Linked DNA regions of Anolis sagrei. The protein of the gene in region 2 binds, or shares a complex with, the protein of the main gene of each other region. Links are inferred from orthologs where the notes say so. Each region holds a gene or a part of one and is shown on either strand. Other genes may lie near its edges.

Region 1 (8,034 bases), on a different chromosome or scaffold from region 2:
TCTTTGGGCTGAAGAGTGGTGCATGTGCAATAAATAAATACAAAAAAGGCAGGAAAATAGAACAAACAAAGGAAAGATAAATATCCTCCCTCTATAGTGCTATTTAAAATCTAGTTCTGATGCTATCTGTACTGGCAGTAAGATTTAAATAACTGCAAGAAAGACATTCACTGGTCTAATCTTTTGTCCATTATGAACACAAGCATCACTAGAAGCATACATCATTCTTTACCCAAAACCCAATACTGTGCACAGAGAACACAAACCTGGTTTCTGGATGCGATGCAACACACTGCAGAAGTGCCAAAGCATTGCAGACTCTGTTGGATTGGTGAGCTGTCAAAGTTGGTGGATTTATAGATGGGTAAATATTTACGATTTCCTACAGAAAAGAGGAAGCAAAACATATTTGTACAAAAACGTTACCATACTTAAGCATTCCAATGCTTGAAAGAGTTGCCAAATATTCCTGCTAATTACTTATACTAAGTAATTCACTCTCAGAATTTCTCTCCATGTATTAACTACACAGGGACTGTCACAAAGTTAAAAGAATTTAGTAGAGGAACCAAAATATAGAGATGCCTTGCAAGTCGCACCCAATTGGGTTAGCCCATGCTTATTGTTAATACTTCCCAAGTCCTTAAGGCTCCAGTTTTACATGTGGATATTCTAGACTAAGGAAATAATTCTGGTTATTTCTAGAAAAGAGATGTCCCACCTACCTGTAAGAGAGCGGCTATTGTTCCAAAGGAGTGCCATAGCATTGGGGCAAGATCAGGGACAGACTCTCGCTTTTTGCTCAGCTCCAGCAGTGCATTTTCACGGGTTTCAGGGCTAGACAGCTCATTGATCCATTGATATATTTTCTCTCGATCAACCTGAGCAAGTGCCGTTGGCACAGGCTATAAAGAGACAGAAATGATATAAGCAAGGGTCTCTTTTTCTTCTTCTTCCCGTCGAATCACAATGACAAATAATTAAAAGGACTTAACCAAAACAAACAAACAAAAAACAAAAACAAAAAATGAGATGAGCAAGAAGCAAACAATTCCAAGTAAATATGGATGAGATTTAATTCTCAATTACTTTAATGAAGCTAACTTTAACATCAGTATGCACAGGATTGTATCCTTGAAACAGAGAGAAGATGAAAGCAGATTAACATAGACTTCTGGAAGGGAATTAATTCAGTTGCCAAATGAAAATTCTGCTTGTGCAGTTCTAGTGTATACATATGGGAAGTAAGTCCCCTCGTGGCCTTGAGATTCTCATTTCACATGACAATGTGATATATGCTTATCCTGGGATGCTTTCAGGGCCCTCCTGGGCCAAGATCAAAAGTCACTTTGTCCGAGTTTTGTACATCCTCTTACTTCAATACCTTAGGCACCTCAGAGACTCGGGACATCCAATTCAAGAAAACCTTTGCTTAGAATCACAGAGTTGGAAAAGACCGCAAGAGAGATCCAGTTCAAGAACTTTTAGTTGCTTCACTTAAACATTAACAGAACCTTTGTTAATAATGACCAGCCGACAACAAAAGGTCACGTTTTATTTTTTGTTTCTAACGAAGTTGTGAGGTTCACAAATCACTGCTAGATGGAAGAGCATTTGAGGGTTGAGGCAGACAAACCCTGGTGACTCAGACATGGAGCCACCTACCTGCATGCACTTCAGTGACCTACTTTCCAAGATAAACCTCCAGTTGAACTACTACAGATCAATAATACTTCCAGTAGGGAAATGAGTTCACTGCCTTTTTCACATAAAATCCATTCTTAGTTTTATTTTCAAAGCAGATATTGAGCTGATTCAGAAAATAAATCAAACTGAATTTATTTCTTTTTCTTTCTTACAAATACAGTTGAACTGCAAAGGAATCTCCCTGGTTTTATTTCTTATGAGTAGCAAAAATAAAAACCATGCCATTCTACAATTTGGGGGCACTGATGAAAATGTCTTGGTTAAGAGATGCCTTGCTTCCCCTCCAACCCTCATACAGCCCACTGCCCCCTCAAGGTATTCATTCAGAAGATTAATTAATGCTATTTTTGAAGGCTTAAAGAAGTGCCATAAATACACAGAGAGAACCCTGCCCTATGTCTCTGATGATTTCTATTAGTGGCTTTATTTGTACGTTACAGCTTTGGGGATCGAATGGCACCTTGTGGGGTGCCACTTAAGAGCTTCTTTCCCGAATATCAGCTGTGCCCAAGCACCACCATCTGGAACCTATGTGAGAGGCATGACGAGGCAAGACTGAAACCACTGAAGCACAGTGCCTCTGTTCCTAAAGCCCTCAGGCATTCCCAAAGGATATAATGGTTGATGGTATCGAATGCCACTAAGAGGTCCATAAAACAAACAAAACCATCAACAGGGATACACTCCCCATGCCAATGCTTGAAATGTCAGCCAAGACTATCTGAAGTTAGTAGCCCTGTCAATCACCTGCCCAAAGAAGGAAAATTCAATACTGGTCTATAGTTGTTAAAATCCAGAGGGTCCTGGGAAGGCTTTTTACAGATGGTGTCGTACCACTACTTTTACAGTAGTATCTTTTGATACTATACTTCAATACTTCTCAGGCTAATGTAATGTGGCAGAGCCAGGTTTCTATTTCTAATGGCTAACAACCAGCATGCTATTTATGCCCATTAGTTATAAGTATTTCTTTCCTGGAAATTAACTGCAGGTTTATAGCCAATGGCTAGTGTACTAACACCTGTCTCTAGAACTGCACTCTAAAGTGCACTATTGTAAATATTCTTAACTAAGTCTACTGGATGTACATTTTTTAGAAATTAGATATATGAACATGTTGTCTTGAATATTTATAGATCTATACGAAAATGTTTTATATTTGTTTCATTCTGCTCCCTGAAAAATTGTCCCCCCACATTTTTACAAGTTTTTCTAAGTTCATATCTCCAGTCAACCTATACAGATATTGAGCTGATTCAGAAAATAAATCAAACTGAATTTATTTCTTTTTCTTTCTTACAAATACAGTTGAACTGCAAAGGAATCTCTCTGGTTTTATTTCTTAAGTCTTATGATGTCTTGAACAACAGATATTAAAAATCACTAAATTTGAAACACGGTAATTTCTAAAAGTAAGGATAGAAAACCTGTTAGAACCTAACACAAATCAACAAGGAGAAACAAATGCAATGTGAAGTATCCAACAGGATGGGGGGGAGAGTATAATATGGCAATAAAGTGAAGTAAATACAAAATAGTAAAGGAAAGCTGACTTAAGGTGGACTCCTTAATTCTGGTTTTTGGAGAGGGAACTTCCAACTGTAACCTTTGAGAACAAGGTTCCTGCATCTCTGGCTGTCTTTTCTTACCACTACTACCATATTTTTTAAAGCATCATTTCCATCTCTGGTTATTTCTAAAGAATTTAAAACTTATGAGTGATGCTACTGATGCTTTAGAATTTGCTTTAGGGCACATTTATACTGTAGAATTATACTGGGGCGGCACCAGTACTCTTTGACAGAGGAGGATAAAAGACCTTGTAAAGCTATAACTCCCAGAGTTCCATAGGATTGAAATATAGCAGTTAAAGTGGTGTCAAACTAAATTAACTCTTTCGGGCATGAGCAGACTTCAGCGTTCCAGGTGTTTTGGACTTCAACTCCCACAGGCTGTTAGGAATTGTGCGAGTTGAAACCAAAATGTCCGGAGGGCTTGAGTTTGCCCATGAATGATATACAGGGCCATAGCCAGAAAATTGGGGGTGGGTGGTGGGTGGGTGTTGAAACCTTTTTAAGCGAATCATGAAGAGTAGTTCCATAACACAAAATAATTTAAATAGTATGGTTCATTCTATATTTTATATAAACTTAATTAAATCAGTTTTCTATTTTAGTTACAGAGTTTCAAGTCTTAAAATAACTGAAAATGACTATTAATTGGTAATTTATAGCTACAAAAGAATATCATAGCGTCTGTTGGAAACACTTGAAAGCTATGTCAATATACTTTGATAGAAAGCAGGCTCCATTGATAAACTTTAGTGGACACTCAAGAGTACAAGTCCAGTCAGTCTTTCTTGCCTCACTGTTTTTCTTATGTATGTTTTCAAACGTTTAAGAGTTGAAAACGAGCTCTATATAGGCGCAGCAATGGGAACCTACTAACTGGAAAAGGGGAGGGTGGAAGCAACGAGTGAAAGGCCTAATTCCCCATTAGGAACCTGCCTCCTACCTCATGCCGAAGCAAAGAACACAGCAATAGCCTGCAGCTCCGCCCCTGTCAACCGTCCCCACCAAGTATGGTCTCCTTCATGAGGGCCTTCAAATCCAACCCGCACTCAATACATTAGGCTTTGCCTGCCAGTTATGGGTGAGCCATCGTGGCTACTGCTGCAAGTTATGAGTGTAAACAAATTGTCAAAATTTGCTTGAAGTAGTGCTTGAAATTCTGGAGGCACTCATTTAGTTTTTGCTTCTCATAGACTTAGCATGGGAATTTGGTTAACCAGTTAAAATTCATCTTTTTTTAACCTGAAATTTTGGGAGGGGGTGTTAACCCCTAACCCTCCCCTCTGGCTAGAGCGCTGCTGATTTAAGGTCTTTACAAGCTCAAATAAGCCTCCTTCCATTCTGCAGCATTTGCTCTCACTTAGGAACAGGATTCCAATGCCACATGCTAGGGAAAATATTATTCTGGAATGCTAGAATACACTGCATCGCATGCTTTAACTGGTCATGAATGCCTTCGAGAATACATTTAATTGTGTGTGTGTATGTATGATCTTATGCTTAATGTGATGTTATATGTGTATATATATATATATATATATATATATCTGTGCAATGTGGCAATGAAATTGCCAAAACTGTATGCCGAGTCCACTTCGGGGTATGATAGAGCAGAGTAGAAATATAATGATAGTAAATAAATAAATCGAATCCACACTGTAGAATGAATGCCCCTGGAACTGTCTTGCCTCCATACTAAGGAATCCTGGGAGCTGTAGTTTGGTGAGGCAGCAGCACTCTTTGGCAGAGAAGGCTGGAGACCTCGTAAAACTACCACTTTCATGCTTCTATGTTCAACTCCGGGGCCATTTTTTACGCATCAGCCACCATAAACGATGAATCCGCGCATTGGGGGGGGGGGGGGGGGGGGAAACAGGCTCCCGGCCCCGCCTCCTTGCAGGCGCCTTCTTTGCCGCCATGCTGCTGCTGCTGCCGCTTTGGGCCGAAGGTCCTCTCTCAGGGAAGCGGAAGGGAGCTGCACGAGTAACTAAGGAGGACCCGTCGTTTCTGAAGGAGAGCAATTTGGCGGGAAAACAAGCCTCTGCCGCCCCCTCCCCTCATTCCGCCGGCCAATGAAACCAGACCTTTCTCAGCCCCTCAGCGGGCTTCCTGACCGCCCTGCCGAGGAAAACCATGCCCCGCGAACCCGGCCCGGCCTTACCGCGGTCGTGGCCAAGCTGTGCATGGTCGGGAGTCCTTCGCGGGAGCTCAGGAAGCCGCTTCTACCTCAGGCGCCGCCATGATGGATCTGCCGCCGTCGCCACTGCCGCGACCTCTGACCTCTCGGCGGGCATAAGCGTTGGGCCCGAGGAGAGCGAGAAGGCGCATGCGTCGCCAGAACTCGAAACCACAGAGGGAAACAGTGCGCATGCGCAGGAATGGCAGGAGTCGATTTCCAGGCCGTCGGCGTGATGACGTAGGGGCCTCCCTATCCAGTCCTGTCCGCGGTCCCGCCCCCCTCTCGTGCGTGTTTACGTTGCGTGCTGGCGTCAGGAGGACGGTGGCGCGGCCGATCTGGTTCCCGCCATCTGCCCTTTTCGTGAAGGCAAGCCAGGCCGGCTGGGATCGAGGCGGGCCTGGTGTCCGCGAACGGAGGCAGGGAGGAGGAGGAGGAAGAGGCGGCCTGGAGACGGAGCCAAGCCCGGACGGGTTCGCGGAGAAGGTGAAGGAAAGCCGCCGCCGCCATCATCCTCTGTGGTGGTGGGCTTGTCTGGAGCGTGGCGCACCCTCTGAGGGAACTCTTGCCTCCTCAGTGCCGGGGAGGGCGAAGGGGCAGGCCTGCTCGGTGGCACCGGGCCCTCTCCTCCCGCCCTCTCTCCCTTCCCTCCTTACCCCTTCCTCACCAAACTACAACTCCCAGGATCCCATAGCATTGAGCCAGGGCGTTTAAAGCGGTGGAAAGAAGTTCCCTTCATCCTTCCCTCCTTCCCTCGCTCACGCCTCCCATAACAGCCTGAGCCTGGTTCCTTTCCTCCCTTCGGCCCCAGACATGCCTTGCCTTCCAGTGTGATTGCTCCACGCTTGGGGCCCATCTTCTATACCATACATGGGCAAACTTTGACCTGCTGTTAGGAATTGTGGGAGTTCCAAGTCCAAAACACCTGGAGGGACGACTTTTGCCCATGCCTGATCTATATTGTTGAATTACTGCAGTTTGATACCACTTTAAATGCTGGATTTAGCCCATAAAGCCCTAAACAGTTCCGGACCAGCTTACCTAACTCCTTATGACCCTTCTAGGTCACTAAGATCATCTGGGGAGGCCCTGCTCTCGGCCCCGCCTCCCTCACAGATGCATTTGGCAGGGACAAGAGACATGGCCTTCTCAGTGGTGGCCCCTCGACTGCAGAACACCCTTCCCAGGGATATAAGAGTGGCCCCCTCCCTCCTGACTTTCCGAAGAAAGGTTAAAACCTGGCTTTTTGAGGAGGCTTTTGCTAATCCAGCGTAATTATATAAAATCATGGAATGACCTGACGAAGTAACTAAATAACAATTTTAACAAGGAGATGCTCATGATAATGTTTTTATGGCTTTCTATGGTTTTTATACTTTATATTTTATATGAATGTTTTTAACAGTATTTTATGATTGTTTATTTGTTGAGGCATCAAATGTTGCCAACTACGAACCGCCCTGAGTCGCCTTCGGACTGAGAAGGGCGGTATACAAATATGATAAATAAATAAGTAGTGGCTCAATGCTGTGGGATTTTGGAGTTCTAGTTTGCTGAGGCATGCAGCCTCTTTGGCAGAGAAGTCTAAAGACTTTCCAAAAATCATATCCCCTCAATATTATAGCCCTGAGCCAAGGTGGTTAAAGTGGTGCAAAAGTGCATTTGTTCTACAGTATAAGTCAGCTTTGGGCAAATTTGGCCCCTCAGGCTGTTTTGGACTTCAACTCCCAGGAATTATGGGAGTTGAAGTCCAAAACACCCAGAGGGCCCAAGTTTGCCCATACCTGGTATAGGTGCACCTCTTCTTTCTTTCCTTTGCTCCTCTATTCCATGGTAACTTCGGCCTGGTTTGTGGCATTCTTCATCCCATGCCCTCAGCCTGAGCCATGCTCTTTCTCACTGCTCAGGTTTCCAGGGCTGTTGGTCCAGACCTTGGTTACATCCACACTGCCGAATCAATGTTGTTTGAGACCATTTTACCTACCTTTTACAAGGTCTTTAGCCTTCTCTGCCAAGAGTGCTGGTGCCTCAGCAAATTCCATGATAATATAGCATCGATCCATGGCAATTAAAGTGGTGTCAAACTGTATGAATTCTACAGTGTAGATGCACCCCTTGATTTCCGCTTCCTTTCCTTCCTGCTTATCTCCCATTGTTTGTTTTTGTCTCTGATCCACCAGAGAGACAAGAGAGTGTCTAGGAGTCACCCACTTGTTGGCCTTTCTTTCATCCCTTTAGTCCTAGCCAGGCATGTAAAGCTTTGCCGAGATGAGTGGGGTGAGCTTCTCCCTTGCTTTGACTCCTAGATCCACTCACAGCCATGTTTCTGTAAAAGTGAGTGTTTCCTATCCAGAAAACTGAAATGTAGAAATGAGGCAAGTGAAACTTCTTTGTGGGTTAACCTGTGGAGGCTCCATCTGTTCAATTTATGTTTCATTGGCTCCAAGGTAGATGAGAACACGTTAACAACTTACTAGTTTTCTAAATTGCTTTCAAGTTTCTTCATATCTTGTAGGAATTTGCTGTAAATAGTATTGAGTGTTCTTTACAAATTGTATGACTTTTTAGTTATAGCGTGGC
Region 2 (8,034 bases):
ATGAGTTCAAAGTGATTTAATCCTTAATGCGGAGGTTAGCAAATGACAACATAGGTACGACATATAACACACAAGGCCACCTTTTCTTCTTCAGCTGGGGAGTGCCACTAGGGCTAAGTTTTTCAAGGACTGCAGTCTCAGCTTAACCATTTCATACAGCATTATCCTACCCTTGTCGATTTATGTATCATATCAATAGAGCTGTTCTATTTAAATGAAACTGCCCAATGTCTGACAGAATTATTTAACACTAATGCATTGCCATCAATTTTCAACAGGCAACCTCAAAGAGAGGCTAAATTATTTTTTAATTCCAAAAAGCAAACCTTGATTTTACCATTTTATATAAGGGACATTGTTTTACTAAGTATATTATGAGGCTTCCATATCCAGATTTTGGTATACATGGAGGTTCTGAAATAAAACCCCAGAGATAGTAAGAGCCCACTGCAATTGTCAGATCTCCATGGCTTGCTAATCACTCCTTTTTTTTCTCCAACCCTTCCCAGGAACCACCCACACCTTCCAAGAGTAGACCTCTGTATCCTATCCACACTTGCATGGAAGTAAATCCATTGGTCCTGGAGGAGCCTACTGCCAGTTTCACCACTACCTGATCATACACACATCTACTCTGAAGCAATTCCCACTGATTCTTCTCCCACTCCAGGTGCATTAATTTATAAGTCACAGCCTGGGCCTTTAGGCAGAATAAAGATGCACCTGCAGTGTAAAATTAATGCAGTTTGACACCATTTTAACCGCCATAGGTGTTTTTTTGTGTGTGTGGGGAGTGACTTGAGAAACTGCAAGTAGCTTCTGGTGTGAGAACTGGCCATCTGCAAGGCTGTTGCCCAGGGGACACCCGGATGTTTTACCATCCAATGGGAGGCTTCTCTCATGTCCCCGCATGAGAAGCTGAAGCTGACAAGGGTTTAACCCACGGTGCCACCGGGGGCTCCATAGGTGAATACTATGCCATAGGTGAAGGCTATAGAATCATGGGAGATTTAGTTTTACAAGTGCTTTGGCCTTTTCTGCCAAAGAATCTGGGGCTTCACCAAACAACAGCTCCCTGGATTCCATAGCATCATCCATGACAGTTAAAGCAGTGTCAAACTGCATTATTTCCATAATATCGAATAGATGCATTCCAAAAGATGCTTGTAACCTCCCCCCTACTCCACCCACCCAACAAATCAGGAGGCACAACCCTGTCAGTCTGGAAAATGAGTCTGCAAAGGGCTCTTGTAGTACCTTTAAGACTAAGGCTGGATCTACACTACAATATAATCCACATTGTCTGCTTTGAACTGGATTATATAGGGGTCCTTCCATCCTGCCCCTTTATCCCAGGATCTGATCCCAGATTATCTGATTATCTCAGGATACCTGGCAGCGGGGACTCGTATATTCCAGTTTAAAGCAGATAATCTGAGATCAGATCCGGGGATAAGGGCAGTGTGAAAGGGCCATAAATCTTCACTGCCATGTAATCCAGTTCAAATCAGATAATTATCTCCACTTTAAAAGCAAATGTTTCAAATCCTCTCGCATCAGACAGTAGGGTAAAGTTTCCTATTGTTGTCTTACTGCACTGCCCCAAAGGCCTGGTCCCACAGCCAAGTTTTTACCATCTTTCTGAAGGACAGGAGGGAGGGGGCTGATCTAATCTCACCAGGGAGAGATTTTCATAGCCGAGGGGCAATCACTGAGAAGGCCCTCTCTCTCTCTTGTCCCCACCAATCTCAACAGTGACAGGACCCAGAGCAGGCCCTCCCTGGAAGATCTTAGTCTCCGGATGGTTCACAGAGGGAGAAAATCCCACAATATCTGCTTTGAACTGGGTTATCTGAATCCACACTGCCATAAATTCCAGTTTAAAGCAGAAAATGTGGGATTTTATACAGCTGCGTGGCATTGGTCTCAGATAACCCAGTTCAAAGGAGATAGATACTGTGAGATTTTTGCCTTGATATTCTGGGTTATAGGGCTGTGTGGAAGGTCCCTTATTCTCTATACCAGGCATGGACAAACTTGGGCCTTTTTCCAGGTGTTTTGGACTCCCAGCTTCCACAATCCCTAACAGTGGCTGTTAGGAATTATGGGTGAAGTCCAAAACACCTGGAAAAAGGCCCAAGTTTGCCCATGCCTGGCTGTTAGTGATTGTGGAAATGGGAGTCCAAAAGACCTGGTGGGAGGGCCCAAATTTGCTCAGGCCTGTGCCACACTGTAGAATGGCGCCACTTTCACCAAAATGACTCAGTGCTACGGACTTTTGGACTTCCAATTCTCACAATCCCTAACAGTCTATGGAATTATGGGAGTTGAAGTCCAAAACACCTGGAAAAAGGCCCAAGTTTGCCCATGCCTGGCTGTTAGTGATTGTGGAAATTGGGAGTCCAAAAGACCTGGCGGGAGGGGCCCAAGTTTGCTCAGGCCTGTGCCACACTGTAGAATGGCGTCACTTTCACCGAAATGACTCAATGCTATGGAGAACGGAGAGTTGCAGTTTGACAAACACTGCCGGTGCCTCACCGAACTGCAACTCCAGAGCATTGAGCCACGGGCCAGGCGGCATCCATGCCCCTTTTACCAGAGGTCATACTTACTTACCTACTTTACTTAGGCAATCCCTCGTTGGACAAGTAGGATAGTCTTCCAGGATCAATATTCTTGTGACTGTGGAGCCCTATTCTTGACCTGTACCTTCTCCCTCAGTGAGGGCATTGGTTTCCAGGTGGAAGGCAGTCTTGGTCGGGGTTGGCTTGATGCATCCTCCTCTTGGAACGTTTCTGTCTTTCACCCTCCATTTGTGCCTCTTTAAATTCTGCAGCACTGCTGGTCACAGCTGACCTCCAGCTGGAGCGCTCAAGGGCCAGGGCTTCCCAGCTCTCAGTGTCTATGCCAGAATTTTTAAGGTTGGCTTTGTGGCCGAAGCCTACCGGACTCACCACGCGTGGCCTTTCCTCCGGACCTCCCAGCGACCCCAAACGCCGCCATCTTCAGGCCCAACCGCTTCCTTCGGCGGAGGACCCTGAAGCCTGCCTGCCTGCCTGCCTACCGCCGCCATGATGCTTATTTGCTTCCCATGAGCGGGAGGCGGAGGAAGAAGAGGAGGCGGAGGCGGCGGCAGCAGCGGTGGGGGGAGCCTGTTCTCCCGTCCGGCCCGCGGCAGGAAACAAAGAGCCAGGCAGGCAGCGGAGACGAGACGGGGATGCGGCAGCCACAGGTACGGAGCGAGGAGGACGAGAAGGGGGCGGATGGAGGGAGCAGGAACTAGGGGAGATGAGAAAAAGCTCTCTCCTCTCTGAGGGACGGTTGGTCGGAGGACGAGGAGGAGGACGGGGGCGCCTCTGAGGAGGCCCTGAGGGAGATGAAGCGCCCCTGAGGGGGAAACGAGAGCGTGGGCGTCACCTCCTTCTCAGGGAAGGAAGAAAGGAGAACCTAAACCAGTCAGGCGGCAAGATGGAGAAGCCTGAGCCAGGCCTCAGGGTGGCTTGGTTGCTTTCTTGGCACAAAAGGCCCGCTTCTGTTAGGGTGAAGGCCATTGGGCCTACGAAGAGGAGCTCACACACACATATATATCAGGGCCTGGGCGAACTTGGGCCTTCCTGCAGGTGTTTTGGACTACAACTCCCACAATTCCTCACGGCCTCAGGCCCTTTCCTTTGCCCCCTCAGCCGCTTAAGCCGCTTAAGCGGCTGAGGGGGCAAAGGAAAGGGCCTGAGGCCGTGAGGAATTGTGGGAGTTGTAGTCCAAAACACCTGGAGGGAAGGCCCAAGTTCGCCCAGGCCCTGATAGGCGTTTGTTGTTGTTGTTGTGTTGTGGTAGTGGCGCGTGGGCCTAGCTGCGGCTGAGCCTTCCTGGAAGCCGCGGCGAGGCTCCGAAGGAAGTGACGTCCTCGGTCCTAAGTGCTTGTTGACAAGAGCCGGGCTTGAGGGGGGCGGGAGAGGGGGCGAGGAGGCGGAAGGCAGGCAGGCAAGAGCAAGGCAGGCAGGCAGGCCGGCTCGGATCCCTGCCCTGGGAGCCTGCGGACCCACCCGCCCTGGAGCCCAGAGCCTCTCCTTTCCCCCGAAGCCCCTCCGAAGGAAGCCCGAGGTCTCAGGTATCGCCTCATCTGGAAAAGAAAGGAAACTTGCGCCAGGCAGCTGCTTCTCTTTTCCCTTCCTTTCCCTCCCATTCCCTCCCTCCTCCCCCATTGCCTCGATTTCAGTAAGCTTTGTTGTCATTGCTCTGCACAAAAGCCCTTGCTCCCTTCCTTCCTTCCTTGCTTGCTTCCTCCGTGGGAAAACAAAAAACCTGTATTTCGTGATGGGAGTCAAGCTTAGCCTAGGCTGCTGCTGCTGCTCGCAGGCCCAGCCACAATAGGCAGCCTGTGTCTGAAATAGAAAGGCAAGAGCGTTAGCTGAGGGGGTGATTGGCAGCCCTGCTGGCCAATGGAAAAGGAGATAGGGGGCAGGGATGTATGCCGTGCAGGTAGGTGGCTGGGCCACAGAGGCTGGGGGACACGCACAGATAGGGGTAAACAGGAGGATTAGGAGGCAGAGCTCTGCGGGCTAGGTACAAAAGCAAGTCTGTTCGGTATGTTTTTGCATAAAGGATAGCATTAAGCTGCTAAAGCTTTGCTAGCCATTCAGAATAAAGGGGAGACTTTATAGCATATATATTGTAAGTATATGCTTACAATATGCTTATAGGGGGTTGGACTGGATGGCCCATGAGGTCTCTTCCAACTCTTTGATTCTATGATTCTAAGTTTCAAGGTTCTCAAAAAATTCTTAATCAGCTATGTTTATTGAAGTTATGTGTGTGTTTTAATGTGAGTTATCAATAAAAGGTATTCTTTATTATATTTATACCCTGCTTTATCTCCCCAGAAGGGGACTCAAAGCAGCTTAGCATAATAATAATAATATATATAAATAAAAATGTAATCAGGCACATCAAATCACTCTCAACAAAAGATTCCAAGGGAACTCAAAGCAGCTTAGCATAATAATAATATATATAAATAAAAATGTAATCAGGCACATCAAATCACTCTCAACAAAAGATTCCTCCCAGACACTTCCAAGCCATTAAATGCTAATCAAGGTGGTCAGTTGAAACATTCACACCTAGTTCCAGCAGACAAAAGTTCTTTGTCTCACCCTGGTCATTCCACAGATATATAAACCCATTTTCCTACTTCCAACAGACCTCACTACCTCTGAGGATGCTTGCCATAGATGCAGGCGAAACGTCAGGAGAAAATGCCTCTAGAACATGGCCATATAGCCTGGAAAAACCTACAACAACCCAATGTAATGTTAGTTTGTGGGATTAACATAACTCAAAAACCACTGGGCGAATTGACACCAAATTTGGATGCAAGTCACCTATCAGGACAACAAGTGAGCATCACATATAAAACACTGAAAAACGCAGCAGAAGAGACTTAAAAAGCCAAAAAAACAAAACAAAAATACATTACAACGCACGCATAAAACCACACATATATATGCAAACATACATATGCACAAACATACACACACACATACACACAAAACACATATAGACAGACTGGGTCACGGCAACGCGTAGCAGGGGACAGCTAATAATAATAATAATCCGGCATATAGCTCTTGTTTGCTGTGACACACTGTGATTTTGTGTCAGTAAAATATAATAATAATAATTGACAATAAACATTGACAAAATCGCAATCTCTCAACTGCAAAAGGCCACCTTACTTGGATCTGCGCGCATCATTTGAAAATACATCACAAAGTCCTAGACGCTTAGGAAGCATTCAACTTGTGATTTGTGATACGAAATCCAGCATATAGATTTCATTTGCTGTGACATACTGTGTTATTGTGTCAGTAAAATAATAATAATAATAATGCACACATTATTCGCCAATACATCACACAGTCCTAGACACTTGGGAAGTGTCTGACGTGTGATCAAATACAAAAGCCAGCATACTGATCTTGTGCTGTGTACTTATCTTGTTATGTATTAAATAATAATAAAATGAGGATTTAAATATCGAACTGCAAAGACTCTGGCCCAAGCCAGTAAAGGAGGTCCCAGTGGTGATCGGCACACTGGGTGCAGTGCGTAAAGAGCTTGGCCTGCACTTAAAAACAATAGGCGCTGACAAAATTATCATCTGTCAGCTGCAAAAGGCCACCCTACTTATATCATCATGTATTATTCACTAATATATCACACAGTCCTAGACACTTGGGAAGTGTCCGACGTGTGATCAAATACAAAAGCCAACATTTGCTGTATACTGATCATCTTATGTATCAAATATTAATAACAATATGAGGATTTGAAGATCAAACTGCAAAGACTCTGGCACAAGCCAGTAAAGGTAGTCCCAGTAGTGACCAGCACACTGGGTACAGTGCCTAAAGACGTTGGCCTGGACTTAAAAACCATTGGCGCTGACAAAATCACCATCTGTCATCTGCAAAAGGCCACTCTACTTGGATCAGCACACATTATTCGCCGATACATCACATAGTCCTAGACACTTGGGAAGTGTCCAACGTGTGATCCAGTAGAACAGCCAGCACAGTGATCCTGTTTGTTGTGTACTAATCTTTTTGTGTATCAAGTAATAATAATAATAACAACAAAAACAACAACTTTATTTGTATCCTGCCCCTCTCAGGGATTCAGGGGGGCTTACAACAAAAATACAATACACATAGTAATAATAGCAATTGAAACAACACAAAAAACATAGAAGCATCAGCACAGCCATTTAGAATATACAAATACATGAATATTAAAACAGGATTAAATATAAATAGTATTTTTAAAATCACAGTTAAAAAACATTAAAACACATTCGAAGTAAAAATTTATTGAAAAATTGGCTATGGGCCATACCATAAAATTAAAAATATTATATGGGAAACGAGTGCTAACAGTGTAGACTTAGAATTATTTTTGACTAACCAATCTTTTGTCCGTTATATCTATTCATAAAAGTGCTTTTTTAAAATATAAAAATTATTTACAATTTTCTTTCTTTTCTTTTCTTTTTTTGACGCAAAACAAGGGAGAAACAGTGGATTCCATTATTTGGAACAAAATGCTGTAATATCTTAGTACTTTCGGGACTTTCAGAATTTTCTAAATAAGATTGTGAAAAGAATATTATTGAGAACTAGACAAAAATAAGGTATTCACCTAATTATGTTTAACAAATTCATCCCAGAGAAAATATTTGAATTGTGTTCCAAACAGTTAAAGGTTTCTGCAGATTTACATGTGTCTTGGGCTATTTTCCTATATGTATTTTATATGTAATAGTAACAGATATAACATTCAAAGGGATTAAAGAATACCTATAGTGATTATTTGGTTCAAATATGAAGGTTTGCATGTATTGACTGCCAATGTTATTGTATCTTGCATTTTTTAATCCGTTAGAAGTTCCCAGAATTATATCACAATTTTTGTTGGGGTAATTTTACTTGTTCTAGGCTCTAGAGGTGCTGCTAGGAATGAAGTCTCCTCTGTGAGGTTTATTCACACTGTTGCTGAAATGGGCCCAGCTGCATATAAATTAAAACTGTATCCCCCTTTTCACCTAAACCATTGGATAAATTCATTTTTTCTAAGGAGACAAATGTACATCACTTTCATGTGAACTCCTGAGTACAGTCTTGATAAGTTCAAGCTATATGGGGTGTTTGAATAATTGAGGAAGAACTGAAATATAAAAATAAATGCATGGACTAGTATATATTTTTAGTATTTTCACACCTCCATTTTCATCATTATATTCTCTGGATTGATGAACTATATTTTTAGTAAACATATTGTAATGGTAGCTAAAAATGCCAATGTTGCCTTCATCCTGTGAAAAAACAATGCTTGTCATCGGGGTTGGGAAGAACTTCTCTAAAAGCACTGTTTTGATGTTCATATACTACAAAGAATGAGACAGTTCAGGATGTGGGTTGTGATAGCATGCTCCAGCTAGTATTTGTGCCCAGAGTTGTTGTCTGCTTATTCTGATTT

Evidence for each region. Proteins that work in one complex are often made in the same cells at the same time.
Region 1: CNOT6 (region 2) and CNOT9 share a complex: the UniProt entries of both Homo sapiens proteins name them as parts of the CCR4-NOT complex. The link is inferred for Anolis sagrei from reciprocal best matches to the Homo sapiens genes CNOT6 and CNOT9.

The regions. Positions count from the first base shown.
Region 1 is NC_090021.1:229,043,874-229,051,907, reverse strand, and holds the start of CNOT9 (CCR4-NOT transcription complex subunit 9), read right to left. Parts: upstream 5,530-8,034; 5' UTR 5,464-5,529; coding exon 5,440-5,463; intron 906-5,439; coding exon 726-905; intron 383-725; coding exon 267-382; intron 1-266. Other genes in the region: USP37 (ubiquitin carboxyl-terminal hydrolase 37), read left to right, coding at 5,605-5,940. UniProt on the Homo sapiens protein: Component of the CCR4-NOT complex which is one of the major cellular mRNA deadenylases and is linked to various cellular processes including bulk mRNA degradation, miRNA-mediated repression, translational repression during translational initiation and general transcription regulation.
Region 2 is NC_090022.1:87,483,199-87,491,232, reverse strand, and holds the start of CNOT6 (CCR4-NOT transcription complex subunit 6), read left to right. Parts: upstream 1-3,132; 5' UTR 3,133-3,232; intron 3,233-3,990; exon of another isoform or gene 3,991-4,108; intron 4,109-8,034. UniProt on the Homo sapiens protein: Poly(A) nuclease with 3'-5' RNase activity.